2 linked regions of the Neurospora crassa OR74A genome follow. The protein of the gene in region 2 interacts with the protein of the main gene of each other region in a biochemical or structural test. Links are inferred from orthologs where the notes say so. Each region holds a gene or a part of one and is shown on either strand. Other genes may lie near its edges.

What was found.
Region 1: the proteins of NCU09561 (region 2) and NCU05194 form a complex in vitro, tested with the Saccharomyces cerevisiae proteins (2 studies listed by BioGRID). The link is inferred for Neurospora crassa OR74A from reciprocal best matches to the Saccharomyces cerevisiae genes PSF3 and MCM6.

What each region holds. Positions count from the first base shown.
Region 1 is NC_026504.1:5,792,612-5,803,826, forward strand, and holds NCU05194 (DNA replication licensing factor mcm6), read right to left. Parts: upstream 7,186-11,215; 5' UTR 7,000-7,185; coding exon 6,704-6,999; intron 6,639-6,703; coding exon 4,151-6,638; intron 4,085-4,150; coding exon 3,950-4,084; 3' UTR 3,669-3,949; downstream 1-3,668. Other genes in the region: NCU05196 (mitochondrial DnaJ chaperone), read right to left, coding at 1-461, 546-743; NCU05195 (hypothetical protein), read left to right, coding at 1,869-1,927, 2,002-3,397; NCU05193 (hypothetical protein), read left to right, coding at 8,423-8,685, 8,748-10,074. UniProt on the Saccharomyces cerevisiae protein: Acts as a component of the MCM2-7 complex (MCM complex) which is the putative replicative helicase essential for 'once per cell cycle' DNA replication initiation and elongation in eukaryotic cells.
Region 2 is NC_026507.1:995,840-1,000,049, forward strand, and holds NCU09561 (DNA replication complex GINS protein psf-3), read right to left. Parts: upstream 2,801-4,210; 5' UTR 2,667-2,800; coding exon 2,625-2,666; intron 2,550-2,624; coding exon 1,935-2,549; 3' UTR 1,365-1,934; coding exon of another isoform or gene 613-1,364; 3' UTR 544-612; coding exon of another isoform or gene 426-543; 3' UTR 227-425; downstream 1-226. Other genes in the region: NCU09562 (hypothetical protein), read left to right, coding at 426-543, 613-1,364; NCU09560 (superoxide dismutase), read left to right, coding at 3,027-3,082, 3,159-3,304, 3,426-3,994. UniProt on the Saccharomyces cerevisiae protein: Functions as part of the GINS complex which plays an essential role in the initiation of DNA replication by binding to DNA replication origins and facilitating the assembly of the DNA replication machinery.

The DNA of each region.
Region 1 (11,215 bases), on a different chromosome or scaffold from region 2:
TGCACCTCGATATCGTCACCCTCGAAAATCTCGGGCTGGAACGGACCCCGACCGCCGCCGCCGCCGCCAAAGGGACCACGGCCACCACCGGTAAATGCTGAGAAGAGATCATCGAGGTTGATGTTTGCGCCGAAGCCGCCGCGTCCGCCGAAGCCGCCAAAGGGGTGCCCGCCGCCAAACGGTTCACCACCAGGGCCGGGGTGGCCGCCTGCTTCGAAGCCAGCAGCGCCGAACTGGTCGAACTGCTTCCTCTTCTCGGGATCAGATAGGATTTCGTAGGCGGACTGGATCTCGGCAAACTTGTCCTTGGCGTTGGGGTCCTTGTTCGTATCGGGGTGGTATTTCTTGGCTAGGCCGTAGTAGGCCTTTTTGATGTCGGATTGCGAGGCGCTCCGGTCAACACCCAGTACGCCGTAGGGGTCGCGAGGTGTAGCAAGCAGGCGGTTGGTGGTGTGGAAGGTCTATGGATTAAGCAGGAGCTGGTCAGCATGTGGATGAATCGAAGTCACGGAGCCAAAGTGAACAAAGACGTCATCAGGACCTACCCTTGGCTTCGAGATAGGCCTCGTGGGAGAAGTGGTGGGTGTGGTTGAGCGGCTGGTGCGAGGCCTAGCAACTACAGTAAAGCCAGCAGCAGAAGCCTTTCTTCCGGCACAGGCTCTAAACCTCTGGCGACGACATATTTGCGCGGGAGAGAAGTGGCGAGCCGGGAGGGCTGCCTTGGGAAGAACGGACGAGTTCATCTTGATCTAGTAGGTAGCTATGGATAGGTAGGTAGAGAGGAGAGAGAGGAGGGTTCGGGTTTCGTCGGTAGATGGTGCGGGCCAGTGAGTAGGTAGCCAACAGGTTATTTACCGCGACATTAAACAAAGGAGTGTGTGAGAGTGTACAGCGTAGGGAGTAACCTGAACCGAACACCCGTGTGTGGATGGAGAGAATAAAGTGAGGGTCAAGGAAGTGGAAGTTCGTTACGAAAGAAGGTCGGATCGTGACCAGGAAACCATGCAGTCAACTTTTTGGCGATTCGCCGAATCACAGCCGCCATTGGGCTGTTGGTGCTCGGTCTTGGCATTCAAAGCACGCACTGGAGCTGCTGAAAAATGGGGAAGAGCTGCTGAAAAGTGGAGAATTCGGGAACCTCGCTGGTCTTCAAAGTGTCTAGAAATCACCACCGCCTTCTTTCTGCCCCACCACTACACCCATTCCCGTCGTCTGGGTGATGGTGTTTGGGTGTCATCACTGCAATCAGTTCCTACAAGTATATGGATTCCCATATGCGTCTGTTGAGTTTCAAACCTCCCGAAATCATCATTAAGAGTCCATTGCGCTGAGACAAAACACACACACACGAAAAAAAAAGAAGGAAATAAACCGAGGATGTCCGGGTAGCTCATCAACGCAGTCCCCCCGTCCCAGCTGGGCGCTAGATCAACATGACGGGAGGGGTCCTCGTCTATAACTAACTGATAAGATAAGGAAAGCCCACTGTAACTCCATCACCACAGTGACGACACACCCTCGATTTGTTTTCTTTCTGCATGTGCATGTCATCACCACCACCACCAGGCTATGTATGGTAGGCTGTTTTGCGCCCAGCCACATCTTTGCGCCTTCATTCATTCGCGACAACACGCGCGACAGCCAATCCAAGCCTGCTTGACTGGTAGCATGCAAGAAGTGCTGCTTCTTTGACCTGTTGTTTTGGCCTTGTTGTCGCAACGAAGCCACAAAGGTTCCCAGCCGGCCCATCGCTCACCATTGTCGACCGACCGCGTGCTCGCGACTCCATCATCTGTTTTGTCCCACCTACACTAATTTCGCTTTCGATTCCCGCGTAGCACTACCAGAAACTCCGAGACACCAACATCATGAACAACCAACAATCACTCGTCGACTACCTAGTCCAACACGAGCCCAGCTTCAGGAAGTGCGTCTTTGCCCATTCGACTGATGCCGCCTCGCTTCATCTTGGGTGTTCCCAGCTAACCTCCTTTTCCACAGAGCCCGCCTCCCAGCCCTATACTCCGATTTCACCACCCTCCGCACTCTCAACCCCGATGGCTACCAGGCCAATATCTCCGCCTGGCGTTCTGCCCTCGCCCACCTCGCCCGCTCCGGCTTGGCCCCCGCCCCAAAAGGTTCAACGCCCAACCTCCTCGTCCTCAATTCCGATGAATCCCTCCTCCGCGCTCTCGAGTCCAAAAAGTACGGCCGGCCGTTAGCCCTGGGCACAGTGATTAGGGAAGCACTGGCCTCCAAGGACCTTGTACCGCTGCATGACTTCCTCACATCCCCAACGAGCATATACTACCAGCCATGGCTACCATCACCGTGGGCTGTAGCTGGCGGTGTGGCCGGCTGGGCCTTGAAACAACTAGGTGTAGCAGATTGGCTGAGGGGGAACGGGCTACCAAAGGGACAATACGTGGTGGTCGCCAACGTCCAAGAAGCCGGCAAGCAGTTCGCCGCAACCACCGCATCCGCCCTAACAGACAGCCGCTTCGAACGTACCTGGTCCAAAGCGCACTTTCTCCATACGTACAACGAGCAGGTCAAGCTGGAGCAAGGCAGCGAGGGCAAACTCCTCAGTGAAACCGATCTCGACGTGTTACTCGTCTTTCTCTCGCGCGACAAGGACCTCATCCTCTACGACGGCTCCACCTTTAAGATCAAGACTCCCTCTGATGAGCAACAAAGCATAACGCCCGAAGACACAACAGTCGCTTCCATCAAGGAACTCATCTCCTCCCTGACGCACCAAACTCACGCCCTAGCGGGCCGCATCACCGAACTCGACAAAGCCGCCCGCCAAGCCGTGCAGTCCAATAACCGAATCGCAGCCTTGGCGGCTCTCAAACAAAAGAAACTCGCCGAGCAGAGTCTCGAGGGCCGCTACGCAAGCTTAACGCAACTAGAAGCCGTCGCGTCCCAGATCCAACAAGCCAGCGACAGCGTAGCCATGATGAAAATCATGGAAACCAGCAGCAAGGTGCTCGAGTCGCTCAACGAGCAAGTCGGTGGTGTTGATAGGGTCGAGAACCTTACTTCCAAACTCAGAGAGCAGATGGCCGAGGTGGATGAGGTTAATACCATTCTGGCCGAGGCGGGCACGACTGCTGCTGGTGGATTGGTGGATGAGGAGGAGATTGATGAGGAACTGGAAGAGATGTTGGCGGAGCAGGAGAAGGAGAAGCAAGCCAAGGAGGAGAAGGAGGAGGAAGAGAGAGAGAGGGACAGGGAGAGGGAACGAGAACAAGAGAGGGAGGCGGAGGAACTCAGGAGGAGATTGGAGGCGATTGGGGGTGTGCCGGTGGTTGAGCCGGGGACAACGGCGGGGAGCAAAAGAGAAAGGGAGATGGAGAGGTTGATGAAGGGTATGTCGATTGATGATGAGTGATCTTTCTCAGGAGAGGGATATAGATACCATGGTTTATTTTAGTAGGCAGTGCTAATTGTTTTGGTAGGTTAATTGCGAGTATACCAACTTTGTTTAACTTCGGTCCCTTTTTGACTACGACTACGATGACGAGTTTCACGACTGTTACGATACGGCGTTGATTAATCCCAATTTTGATGGATACTGCTTTTACGACTTTCAAAGGGCAAATAGAATGGGACTGGGATGAGCGACCAAGGTTTCACGACCAGGACATGATTATGAACTATGACAGGGCGTTAAGGGGTGTTTGTTTACGGGGTACTCACTCCATCACGAGATGCTAGCCCATGTCGATAGTTGATGCGTTACATCGACGCAATACATTGTAACCAACCCTCTATTGTATTCACACAAGACCGTGATATCTTTCCCGTCCAGCCTATCAACACAACTCCAAAACGCCAGCCAGCCAGCCAGGTCTCTCGCTCGCTCTAATCAAGATCCAATCCAAATCCCATGCGACACTTTTCGTACCCTTTCCTTTTTTTTGCCATCCACTCAAACAACACATTAGAACTCCTCCACCGCGCAATTAGGATGCAACACATAGACAATGTTGCCCTCTGCCCTTGCCGAGGTACCTTCTCCCACGGTACCTTCTTCGCCAACAATTCCTTGTCCGCGGATCGCCATGAGGATGTTGTCCTGTTTTTTTTCAATTTCATTAGCAGTCGCTCAATCTGCAGGAAGAAAAAGGGGGCAGAAACATACCTTGACCATCCTCTTCAAAACCTTGCCCACCAACCTCCTCTCCTCGTGATACTCCTCTTCCGTTGCCATCTCCTCCTCCTTCTGCTCCAGGTACCACTCCACCAGCTGCTCGCCTTCGATCCCTTCCCCTGAGCCTTGCGTCTCGTCTTCGGCCACCTTGGAGACGATCAGGTTCACAATGGAAATGTACTTGTCGTACGAAATCGTCTGCTTCTCGCGATGCGCTTGCGAGGGTGCCGCAGACGGCTGTCGGGCAGCTTCACCACCCATGTCGACGTCGCCATCTCCGTCCATATCGGCCTCGGGCACGCGCGAAGCAGCGGCGGCGGCGGCTTGCAAGGCCTCGGGGGAGTCGGCGGGTGGTTCGGGAGCGTCTTCCTCGTCGTCTACTTCGACGTCGTCGTGTTCGACGGAAATGATCGACTGCCGCAAAAGGTGGAACGCCTCATTAACAAAATCGGGCGTGATTTCCTCGACGCAGTTGGCCTTGGCAATGGCTTCAGACAGACGGATCATACTCTCCAGCTGTCTGACGGTGATTCGGTAGCTGTTCTTGCCGATGCCGCCCTGGGCGTCGTCGGCGCGCAGGTCCTTGTAGCGCTGCACGAGGACTTCCTTGGCTTCGTCGGTGAACTCGGGGCGGAAAGTGCGAGCGAAACGAATGTACCGCTGCAGTTGCTCGGTGGAAAACTCGGGCTCGATGGCTTGGTCCCGGTTTTGGTGCAGGCCGACAATGTGTTCGGCCAAGTGGCGGTCGACCTGCTCGTTGCACTCGTCGAGGATGACGAAGAACAGATCGAAACGCGACATGATGGGCGCCGACATGTTGATGTTGGCGCGCAGGGTGGTCTTGCGGTTGTAGCGACCTCCGACCGGGTTGGCAGCTGCTAGAATCGAGGTTCTGGCATTAAGCGTGGCCTGAATACCGGCCTTGGCAATGGAAATGGTCTGCTGTTCCATGGCTTCGTGGATGGCAACCTGATCGGCAATGTCCATCTTGTCGAACTCGTCGATGCAGCAGATGCCGTTGTCAGCGAGCATGAGGGCACCGGCTTCAATGGTGAATTCACCGGTTTCTTCATCCTTGACCACGGCAGCCGTAAGACCAGCGGCGGAAGAGGCCTTGCCGGAGGTGTAGACTGCCCGGGGAGCAAAGTTGACGACGTACTTGAGAAATTGGGATTTGGACGTCGAGGGGTCGCCGACGATGCAGATGTTGATGTCGCCACGGAGTGCCATGCCTTCGGCGGTGGTTTTGGAGACACCAGACAAAAGCTGCAAGAGGATACCCTTCTTGACGACTTCGTGACCGTAGACTGTGGGTGCCAAGGACTGGACAAGGCGTGCGTAGATGTGGTCGCTGTGCACCATGGCACGGAGGTCTTCCATCTCGGCAGAGGTGTAGGAGCTCAGCAGAGCTTCCTGGGCTTCCTTGATGGTCTCGGCTGTTTCGGCCGCCGCGCTGCTGTTGAGGGTACCAACAATGTCCATCAGAAGGGCATCGCCAGAAGCACCGATTGCCGACACATCAGGCGTGACCATGCAAGCCAGGAACGCCAAACGGTAGGTAAGATCGCGCACACCCAGGGCCTTGAGACCAGAAACACCACTGCCACCGGCATCCGCACCCCGATCATCACGCACCGACACGTTCCGCACACCCGGCAGACCCAATTGACTGACATCCGGCACCACGATCAGCGCACCCGTAAAGATACACTTTTCGCCGGCCTTGGCGCGATCCACCAGTTCGCCGCGCAAAATCACATCCATTGTCCTGGGCATGCTTCCTGTGGGAATCTCGCTACTGTTTTCCTGCACGCGCACCTTTTGCCAGTCCACAAAGGTGCTCTGCCTGATGTCCAGCTGCCACGAAGTGCGGTTCTGGCACGTCAAGTTGGGACACTGCGTCGGTTCGGTGTATCGGAACGTCTGCTCGACATTGGGAACGACGGCGTAGCAGGCCTGGCAGACAAAGGTGGCCAGAGCCAGCTCGGGCCGGACCTCGGAGGTGCGTGTGACGGTGCCGCTAATGGCAAGAAGCTGGCCGACGTTGCGGGCGCGCATGGAGCGCACGCGCGAGACGAGGGGCAGGTTGTAGAAGGCAATGGCAAAGAGCTTGTCGGTTTGTTGGTTGGGGTTCTTGATGCCAAAGTCGGACTGGCTCGCGTTGGCGCCTCGTGTGCTGGCGGCTGTCGTGGAGTGGGCGCTGGATGCCGTGGGCTGGCGATGTTCGTTAAAGTATTGGGGTTCGTGGGCGGCGATTCGGCTATGGAGGGCGGCTGTGAGGAAGGGAAGGAAGCGGTAGTACGAGTTGGTGATGGCCTCGGCGAGGGTGCCGTCTTGCCATGAGGCGACGTGCTTGTAGTCGACGTAGAAGGTGGATAACGAGTAGGTCCTCATGCCGTGGATCTGGGCGACGTAGTACTTGTCTGTCGTGACTGCGCTCGAGGTTGGTTGGCCGGACGAGGTGGGTGTTTCGACGTAGCTGGCGCCGGTGTCAGCAAGTACACCAAGTAGTACATGTTTGGCTGGTTTCTTGGATCTTCATACCCGTCAATGAAGGCCTCAAAGGCTCTCTGGACCATGACACCAATCCTATCCTGAACCCTGGGGATGTCGGCAATGTTCCGAGGCCTCGAGCGGACGGGGACCTGATCATCAGCGAACCCTTCCTCGCCCTCGTCTTCGCTGGCCGCTCCGAGGCTTTCTGAGGGGGGGCCTCGTGGACGAGCTGAAGAGGAACTGGGATGACCGTTTCGCGCCCTGGGAGTAGCTCCTCCTCGCGAAGCGATTCCGTCCGACATCATGAAGCCAGCATCGCTGGAGTGTGCCATTGGTGTTGCCATTGTGTTATGGTGTTGCTGTGGTCCACCTGGGTATCAAGGAGAGTTGGTGGAGATTGGAAGTTGTCGAGGTCAAGATTCAAGTAGAGATATGAGAACCCAAGGGACCAAGGACTGACTGGTTAGTGAGTGGAAGGAGGGGAAACTGTGACGAGGGGAGGGGAACTGAGTCCTCCCTGTCAAGAAAACACGATAAAACACGCGCCAGAAAAGCTGAAGCGCGCCAAGACCAGGAAGCTGGCGCGCACAAGTGGGGCCCTCTTTAATGGCTTCGCTAGTGGGATATAGATTGGATAACTGCATACCACCTGCACTTGGCCACAGAAATTCAACCTCTGGGGTGTATCGCCGAAAGCAATACACTTGCTGTAACGAAGCATCGCCATTCGACTCTGCCTTGTTCGTACGACGACCCGACTTGCCCTACCAAGGATTCAGCCTCCTGGTAGAAGTTGCCTACTATGTCTTTTAGTGATTCCAGGCCTTTCGTGTGCCGAATGAGACCTTTTGCAATTCTCTCCCAACTATTTTCATTCATTTTGATTTGAGAAATCCTCCAGCAAGATGCTCCTTCCTCACAAGCCGTTGCAAAATGGGTGATGCTTCTTCCATCCATTGAACAATTCTGTGTGTATTGACGAAGCACAATTTTCTCGAGCTGATGCCCTCTTCCCGCTGTCGGCACTCTTTATCAAGTGCCACACAATTGTCGTCGCTCCCTCGGTTCCTCGAATGCAGTGTTCCCTCCCACATCAGCCAAACTGAACTGTCAATCGCCCTCGTCCAATTTCCTCAGCCTTCGGTGACATCCATCAACCAGCTTGCCATGGTATCTTGCCATTAAAACCGGCCAGCTGCCAGGTCAAGTCCGTGGTGGTTCTCTATAACATCCGAGTTATGTATGTATGTCAGACAAGGTACAACACAAGAAGGTGAGTATAGTGAGGTCGAACCAGTCAGAAGTGGTCCCGGTCATGTTCGGTCCCAAACTCCAACATCTCCGAGACATACAAGCTGCAGTGTTACCACAATTTCATCTGGGCTGATAGGCTTTAGCCGAGAGCATGCCAGCCCTTGACCACCCACATCAACCCGCGGCCAAGAACACATGTCCTTGCTTGACGTGACGACCTTCTGCAATCTGGTATCCGCCTGCCCCTCCCCCCGATCAGATCTCTGGGCTGAAACGCCATGTAGGTGGGCAGCGTGGCGGCGAACCTGATCTATCTTTGCCATCACCCCCCTTCCTGACGTCTCAGCTTCTTCTACCACTCCACAAACAACAGCAATGTTAGATCAGTAGTCTCTTGACATCAGAATGGCTTGACAAGCGAAACAAAGACACTATCAGCTGACTCGGCCAAACAAAGCTTTGTGTCAGAGAAGATCGTATCTGGGCCCGCATTCAGTCAGTCAAAAGTCCAAGATGAACAGCAATACGGACTTCACTCAGCTATGGCATCGCCATTTGGCCAACCTCCGCCATGACTTCTCGGCTGGAGCTGTTGACAACGCTCGTGTACACGCTTCGCCTTCGAAGCCGGCAAGGAGCATGGATGGAAGAGGAGACAGTGAAGCTACGCCCAGGGGCGCTGATCATCATGACATCCAAGCGACGTCGCTCCCCGTTGGACTCGAGTGGGACGGAGACATGGAGATGGTGATTGGTGCTTTGCAGGAGCTTGAGGTGTAAGTTCGGCCAACCTGACATCTGATCCCAAGACAAAACGGCTAACGGACATCCGTAACAGTCAAAGCCCTATCACCGCCACCGAAGCCCTCAGTCCCGATTCTCCGTGGTTCAGAGACCATCATCTTCGCCGTGATGCCGATGGTGATGGGGATATAGAGATTGAGACTGTGGCGTCGTCACCGCAAAATTCGAGCTGGTCGAGGACCGTCGCGCCTCCGAAAGCACAGCGAGCCCGTTTATCATTGCAACCACAGCTGAAGAGCCCCGTCAACCTCTATACGTCTGCGGCTGCTAAGGGGCTTGATACAGATGCTAAAGCACGGACAGAAAGAAGATACTCACAAGACTGGTCCAGAGATCATGCAACACTCCTCTCACACTCTCAGCAGCTATACGAGACTTACTCGGCTTATCCAGCATCACTAGCTTTCAGTACTGCTCGACCTGAACCCGAGACCGAACCACCAGAACCAAAAACCAGGTTCAGCTCCATCTTCTCGCCCTCTCAGCGCAGTCGACATGCACAGCTAACCGAAGAAGTCAACGTCTTGATCCTCAGCTGGGCTACGACAACCACAACAATAACCGCCAAGGAACAAGGGCCAATCAAACTCAGTTCAAGTCGGCAAGGGATCAATACCTCCACGGACTCCGTTCGAAACTGCTTCAAACGGCTCGGATATCGAGTCCAATGCCGACCGATTCCCGAGGACTATCCTACTGCGGCTGTGGAGACCCTGCTGGCCAAGTTTCTCGCGGACTCCGATACGGGCCAGGGGAGGAAGAAGTTGCTAGTCATTTACTATGCTGGGGGAGCGGACATGGTTGGAGGAAGGATGATGTTTGCGAATGCGATTGGCTCGAGTCATTTCTTCTGGGAGGACATTCGCGAGCCCATCATGTCGAGTGAGAGTGACGTCTTGCTCATCCTTGACTGTCATCACTCCATGAGGTCGAATACGAGCACAGAAGCAGAAGATCAACTGATGGTCGACCCGGGCCTGGCATCGTCACCCTCCGTTAAGCAACTCTTGGGCGCCTACGTTCCTGTTCCCTTGCCCCGAACAGATACACCCAACAGCAGCTCGAATGGGGGCATCACGGGAGCAACGCAGATGACCCAAACCCTTTGCAGAATTCTGGACAGCGCCTACGCTAGAGGAGACGGCAAGATATCAGTGCAGAGGTTGTGCTCGTGCATGAAAAATGACTTGCGACAAAACGGCACGGAACTGGATCAAATGGTGTTTGTTACGCAGTTGGGAGGAAGACACTTGATGGATATCGAGTTGCCTGTGTTGTCTGCCGGCATCGATATCGGCGTTAGAGGTGGCAATGACGTCGGCGGCGGTGTATCGCGGGGTATGGGAGTCCTCCGAGGTTGATATCAACTACACCTCAACTTGGGCAAGTTTAGTCCCATTCGAGAGTTCTTCCTATCCCTGGGGCAATCACACACAGGCAGCTAGCGTGTCTGCCTGATCATCTCTCCCTCCAATCACTGACTTTGGATAGTCTTCCGTCTGGTATGGGTGTTGTTGATGGAGAAGCAGCAACCTAGCCTAGTTTATGGGACATGTGTGATATATCCCTGAGAGCTGAAGACTAAAACTCCAATGACACCCAATCGCTTCCACTTTTGGAGATCTTCGGCATTTGCTAGCGTGTGCTCCATATTCCTTATCCCGAAGCGGTAAACCGATGGAACATACGACATGGAAATTTTCGAATTAGACCATGTCGATCGACTTCCGCCTCGCCCAAGGACGTTCTCATCACTTCTTCGTCACACGTCTCCGTCGTGGGAACTGGGAAGCGTATATTCAGCGTGGCATGGGATAGCCTGCGTGGGTCCTGCAAGGAGCACTGGGATTCCATCGTGTTCGGTTTTCCATCAGGGAATGTGAACGGCTACATTACATCCCGAAGTGAACCCCAGCTACCCGCACGCTCAGGGTATGTAATTGGCAACAATGAGAGACATTGTCTTTACAGGACTCCACTGAATCAAGGGGTCCTCAGCTGTCAAACTCGAAAGCTCCCTTCCTTCATCAACATCGCCGTCATAGTCAACGACACTACGGGCTTGTGTCCGAGCCTACGTGCCGAGGCTGCCGCGAATAGCGTCAAGGTGATGAGCCTCAAGGCGTGCCTCATGGCCACCCTCGTTTCTTCTTTTGTGCGGGGCTAGCCGATTCCGCCATTGTACGGTCGATAAGGCAGTGCGTCTGTCACACTCGTTGATGCCTATGGGTGTATGGTCCTGGCAAGCGCTCTAACCTCACTCGCCCCCGCTTTTCCTGGATCAACCCATCTTCAGCTTGGCGATGCTGGTCAGTCTCTGGCTTCAGTTGTCATGTCCACCCATCTAGGATAATGCTCGGCACGAGGACATCGCGATGTAGATGGAGCGTTGTTCACATCCACTAGCTTCTGTAAAGTCGCAAATCAGAGCAGGCGGGATTCTGGATGATCATGGTCGACATTGTGGACACCATCAAAGGGCTCAGCCTTTGGACTCATCAC
Region 2 (4,210 bases):
AACCCAAATTTGGGACGCCCGGCGGCAAAATTGTCCACGTCAACGCGTGTCAATGGTGAGCACGGCAGCGAGGCATTCGAGCGAGTCGAAAACGGGGCAAAAGGGTAAGGCTGGGACTGGAGCTAGAGGATCCTATGACCGTTCGTGATGCCGGGGCCGCGCCTGTTAGACTTGTTGATGGGGTTGGAGAGACCGATCAAGGGGAAGAAAGGCATATATACTGCTGCAATAACTTATAATCGTCATTGATGTTGTACTTGTCATTGTCGTCTTTCTCAACTTCTCTTATTCTTTCATTCGTTCTCTCTCGGGCTGGTTTCCGACCGCTGTTATTTTCTTTCTAGGCGTAGCATACACCCATCTCCGCATCGGCCCTCGCTTGCTAGACTCACCTGTTTCTGCGAGTACAAGCCCAATCAGGAGCCATGCGTCATCCGCTCTCTCTCCGCTTCTTCGCCAACTTCACTATTACCATTCTCCTTGCCTGCAACATAGTCTCTGCCTTTCATGTTGAAGATCTCCTTTACACCTTGCGATCGCTGAGTAAGTCTCGAGTACCAAGCTCAAGATACCGGAAGCTCTAAGCACTGACGACCCCCTCCCTCATCACAGAAGATGCGCCATCCGGTAGCGCGGTTCTCAAAGCCCGCAGCTCGAACTTCACCGCTCCTGCTTCCGCTCCGGCTTCCAATGGCACTGTTGGCTCCTCCCATCCTGACTCGACGGACAAAAAGGAAGGGGGGCTTGGCCTAGGTGGTCTGTTGCATAACCTCTTCGGCCGCCATGATACGTCCACCGCCATTACTCTCAATATCCGGGCCTCAAATAGCACCGTAACCCCTGCTGGTGTTTCCAACGGCACTATCCTTGGCGGTGCCTCCCATCCAGACGCGGCAACCAAAGGAGACCACGGATCCCTTGGACTTGGCGATCTCCTTCACAAGATCTTCAATCACCACAACACGCCCACCATCCCTGGTCCTCTCGCTGGCCGCAGCTCGAATAGTACTGTCCTTCCCGCTGCCGCATCCAACGGCACTGTGCCCACCGGCTCTTCCCACCCGGATGCAGCAACAGAAAAGGGACAGGGGCTCGGACTGGGTAGTCTTTTGAGCAAGATCTTTGGCCGTTCTGAACCTGTGCCTGTGTCTGTCGAGCCTGAAGATGTTGACGAGGTTGACGGCGAGGTTGGTATGCTTATGAGTCTCAACCGCCGTGCCAAAAAGGACGGGGAGAATAGGCTGAGCCGTGAGGAGAGGAGGAAAAATCGGGAGAAGAGGCGTGTGAGAAGGGCCATGTCTGCTGCAACTGAGTCTAAGAAGGAGGAGAGGCATGTTGATCGCTCCAGAGTGTCCCGCGGGTGAGGGTGGTGGCTAGTCGTCGGCCAAGCCAATTTGAGCTTCGGCTATCTTGTTAAATATTCCATAGACCGTGATGGACGAAATAGTGGTATACCCAAATGAAGGATCCGATGTCGCTCGCTAGTCACCCACCAATTGACGAAGTCCGAGTTAACAGAGAGTGCCGAACCTCATGTCCTCTTAATATCTCATGAGTCTTCCTCATTATTAGGCCAGATGGTCTGCTGTGCCGCTGACAGCACAACTCTGTGAAGATCAGCGATGCGTAGGATACTCATCCGGCGATAGCAGTCCAAGTCCGCCATACTTCCAGGGGAGGGTGACACAACTAAACCCCCAAGAATCCTGTCTCCTTCGTGGTATCCCGATGCTCTCGAGCCGTGATAATGACTGATCCACAGCTTCGTCATGGTAAATGAACTTGGGAGGTCGCCGGTGGCCTGTTGTTATATACTGCATCGAGCGCAGTCCGAGAATCATGGAGGATGCTTGAACCGAAGCGCTGGTTCGTTGCGAGGTAAAGACCGATCGGGCGCCAGCGGTAGCAACAACGCTCCAACAGTACCACTCCACTCACCTCTTCTTGACATTCTCCATCCACTCCTTGCTCGCCTTCGTCCCATCATGTGCACTCCTAAACAGCTTCCTCTCCCACTCATCCAACCCTCTCAAAAAGTCCTCACCAGCGCCTCCCACGCCCAAATTGCTGGCATTATCGTCCTTCGTCGCCTTCCCCTTGCCCTTTCCTCCGGCTCCTCCGCCATCTCGACCATGATACGAACTTCCGCCCCCACCCACCTTCCTAGCATGCAACGCAATCTCCGCCGCCCTCGAGACAAACGTTTTCCTTAACACTGCGCTCAGCTCCGGCTCCTCTGACAACTCCATCATGTGCGTGGCGAGGGCGTAGAAGTGGGCGCTCTGATCGCGCAGCGGCACGGAGCGCGGGTCGGCTTTCAAAGCTTGGACAACGTCGTTACCCAGTGCCGGGGGCAGGTCGAAGGTGATGAAGGATTTGCTGGACTGTGATGGGTCGTCCATGTCGACGGCGCCCGTATTAGCGATGGCGAGCATTTCAGCCAGCCAGATGGGGAGAGCGACGCGCGAGCCGGACTTAAGGGTGTGCCCCGGTTGGTTGTCGAGATAGCCAAGGTCGGGGACGTCGATTTGAAAGGTACAAGGAATTTTCTGGGGAGGATCGTCGGGTTAGTTGGTGTTTTGGCGTTGGGTGATGATATGGTGGGGGAGGGAGATGGAGGGTACCTCTGCGTCAGTCAGGATCGCATCGATATCGTAATATGACATGGTGGTGATTTTGGTAGCTTCAATTGGACCAGCCTGGCGTTTGGAGATGAGTTGGACAGTGTTGAGTTGGACAACTGACCCAAACCAAGTTTTCGCCAGGATTTCGAGATCAATCAAGGTTCTGGGGAGACGCGCTCTGGAAGTGGGAGACGCGACAGAGGAAGAGCGCCGCCATGCCAAGAGACCGCAATTAACACTGTGGCTTACTCACCACTCAGAGACGGCTCCTTGTTCCACTTTCAGCCACACGAGCCATAGAGGTACCCACCTCTTCCCCTCGGCGGGGTGGGGCTATGACGGAATTAGTTGGAACGGTTTCCATGGAGCTTCCATCATCATCCGAGCTTATTAGATAAGTAAATGGAAAGAGACATTTCCGATAGTCGCAATCAGTCGGCCAATTCACTTACTCTGAGGTAGCCGCCGTCCCATTGATCATCTAATTTTCCTCTTCTCGCACTTCAAGACCTAACCACTTCACCTAATTACTAGTCTTTCTCTCGATAAACAAGCCGTCACAATGTCCGCATCCCTCTTCCGCGCTACTCCGGTCGCCCGCAGCGCTCTGCGCGCCGCCAGCGCCGTTAAGCCCGCCGCTACCTTTGTCCGCGGCAAGGCCACTCTTCCCGACCTTCAGTGTAAGTTCTTTCCTCCAACATTCGCTCGCTTTGCAATGCCCGCTCCTCATTTCAGTCTATCCTCCCTCCGCTTCGGCTTTGAGGAAAAACCCCCCAAGCTAACTCACTCTCCTTTCCCTAGACGACTACGGCGCTCTTGAGCCCTACATCTCCTCCAAGATCATGGAGCTCCACCACTCCAAGCACCATCAGACCTACGTCAACGGCCTCAATTCGGCCCTGACCACCATTGCCGAGGCCGAGTCCAAGGGTGACTTCACCAAGGCCGCCTCGGTCGCCCCTCTCCTCAACTTCCACGGCGGCGGCCACCTCAACCACACCTTGTTCTGGGAGAACCTGGCCCCCGCCTCGCGCGAGGGTGGCGGTTCACCCGATGGTGCTCTCGGCAAGGCCATCACGACCGAGTTTGGTTCTTTCGAGAGCTTCGTCAAGCAGATGAATGCTGCGCTGGCCGGCATCCAGGGCTCGGGTTGGGCGTGGTTGGCCAAGGATAAGGCTGCGAACGGCAAGCTCGCGCTGATTACCCGTGCCAACCAGGACCCTGTTACTGGTAACTATGTGCCCCTGTTGGGCATTGACGCGTGGGAGCATGCGTACTACTTGCAGTATGAGAACAGGAAGGCAGAGTACTTTGAGGCGATCTGGAACGTGATTAACTGGAAGACTGTTGCCAAGAGGTTTGAGGCTTAAGTTGTATATACCTTGGGGTGTAGTAGCAGGGGCGCTTTAATTGACTAATGTGTTGCTGCTGTGCAGAAAGCTTGTGATTGTTTGGTGGTAGTGTTGTATGTGATATTACTTGCGGTTACGAGAAGGTCACGAAGCGTCATGTCAACGGTGCAGGAGGGTGACGTTGACGTTAGAGCGCGCAGCACGTTCTTGTCCAAGCATGGGTTCACATTGACA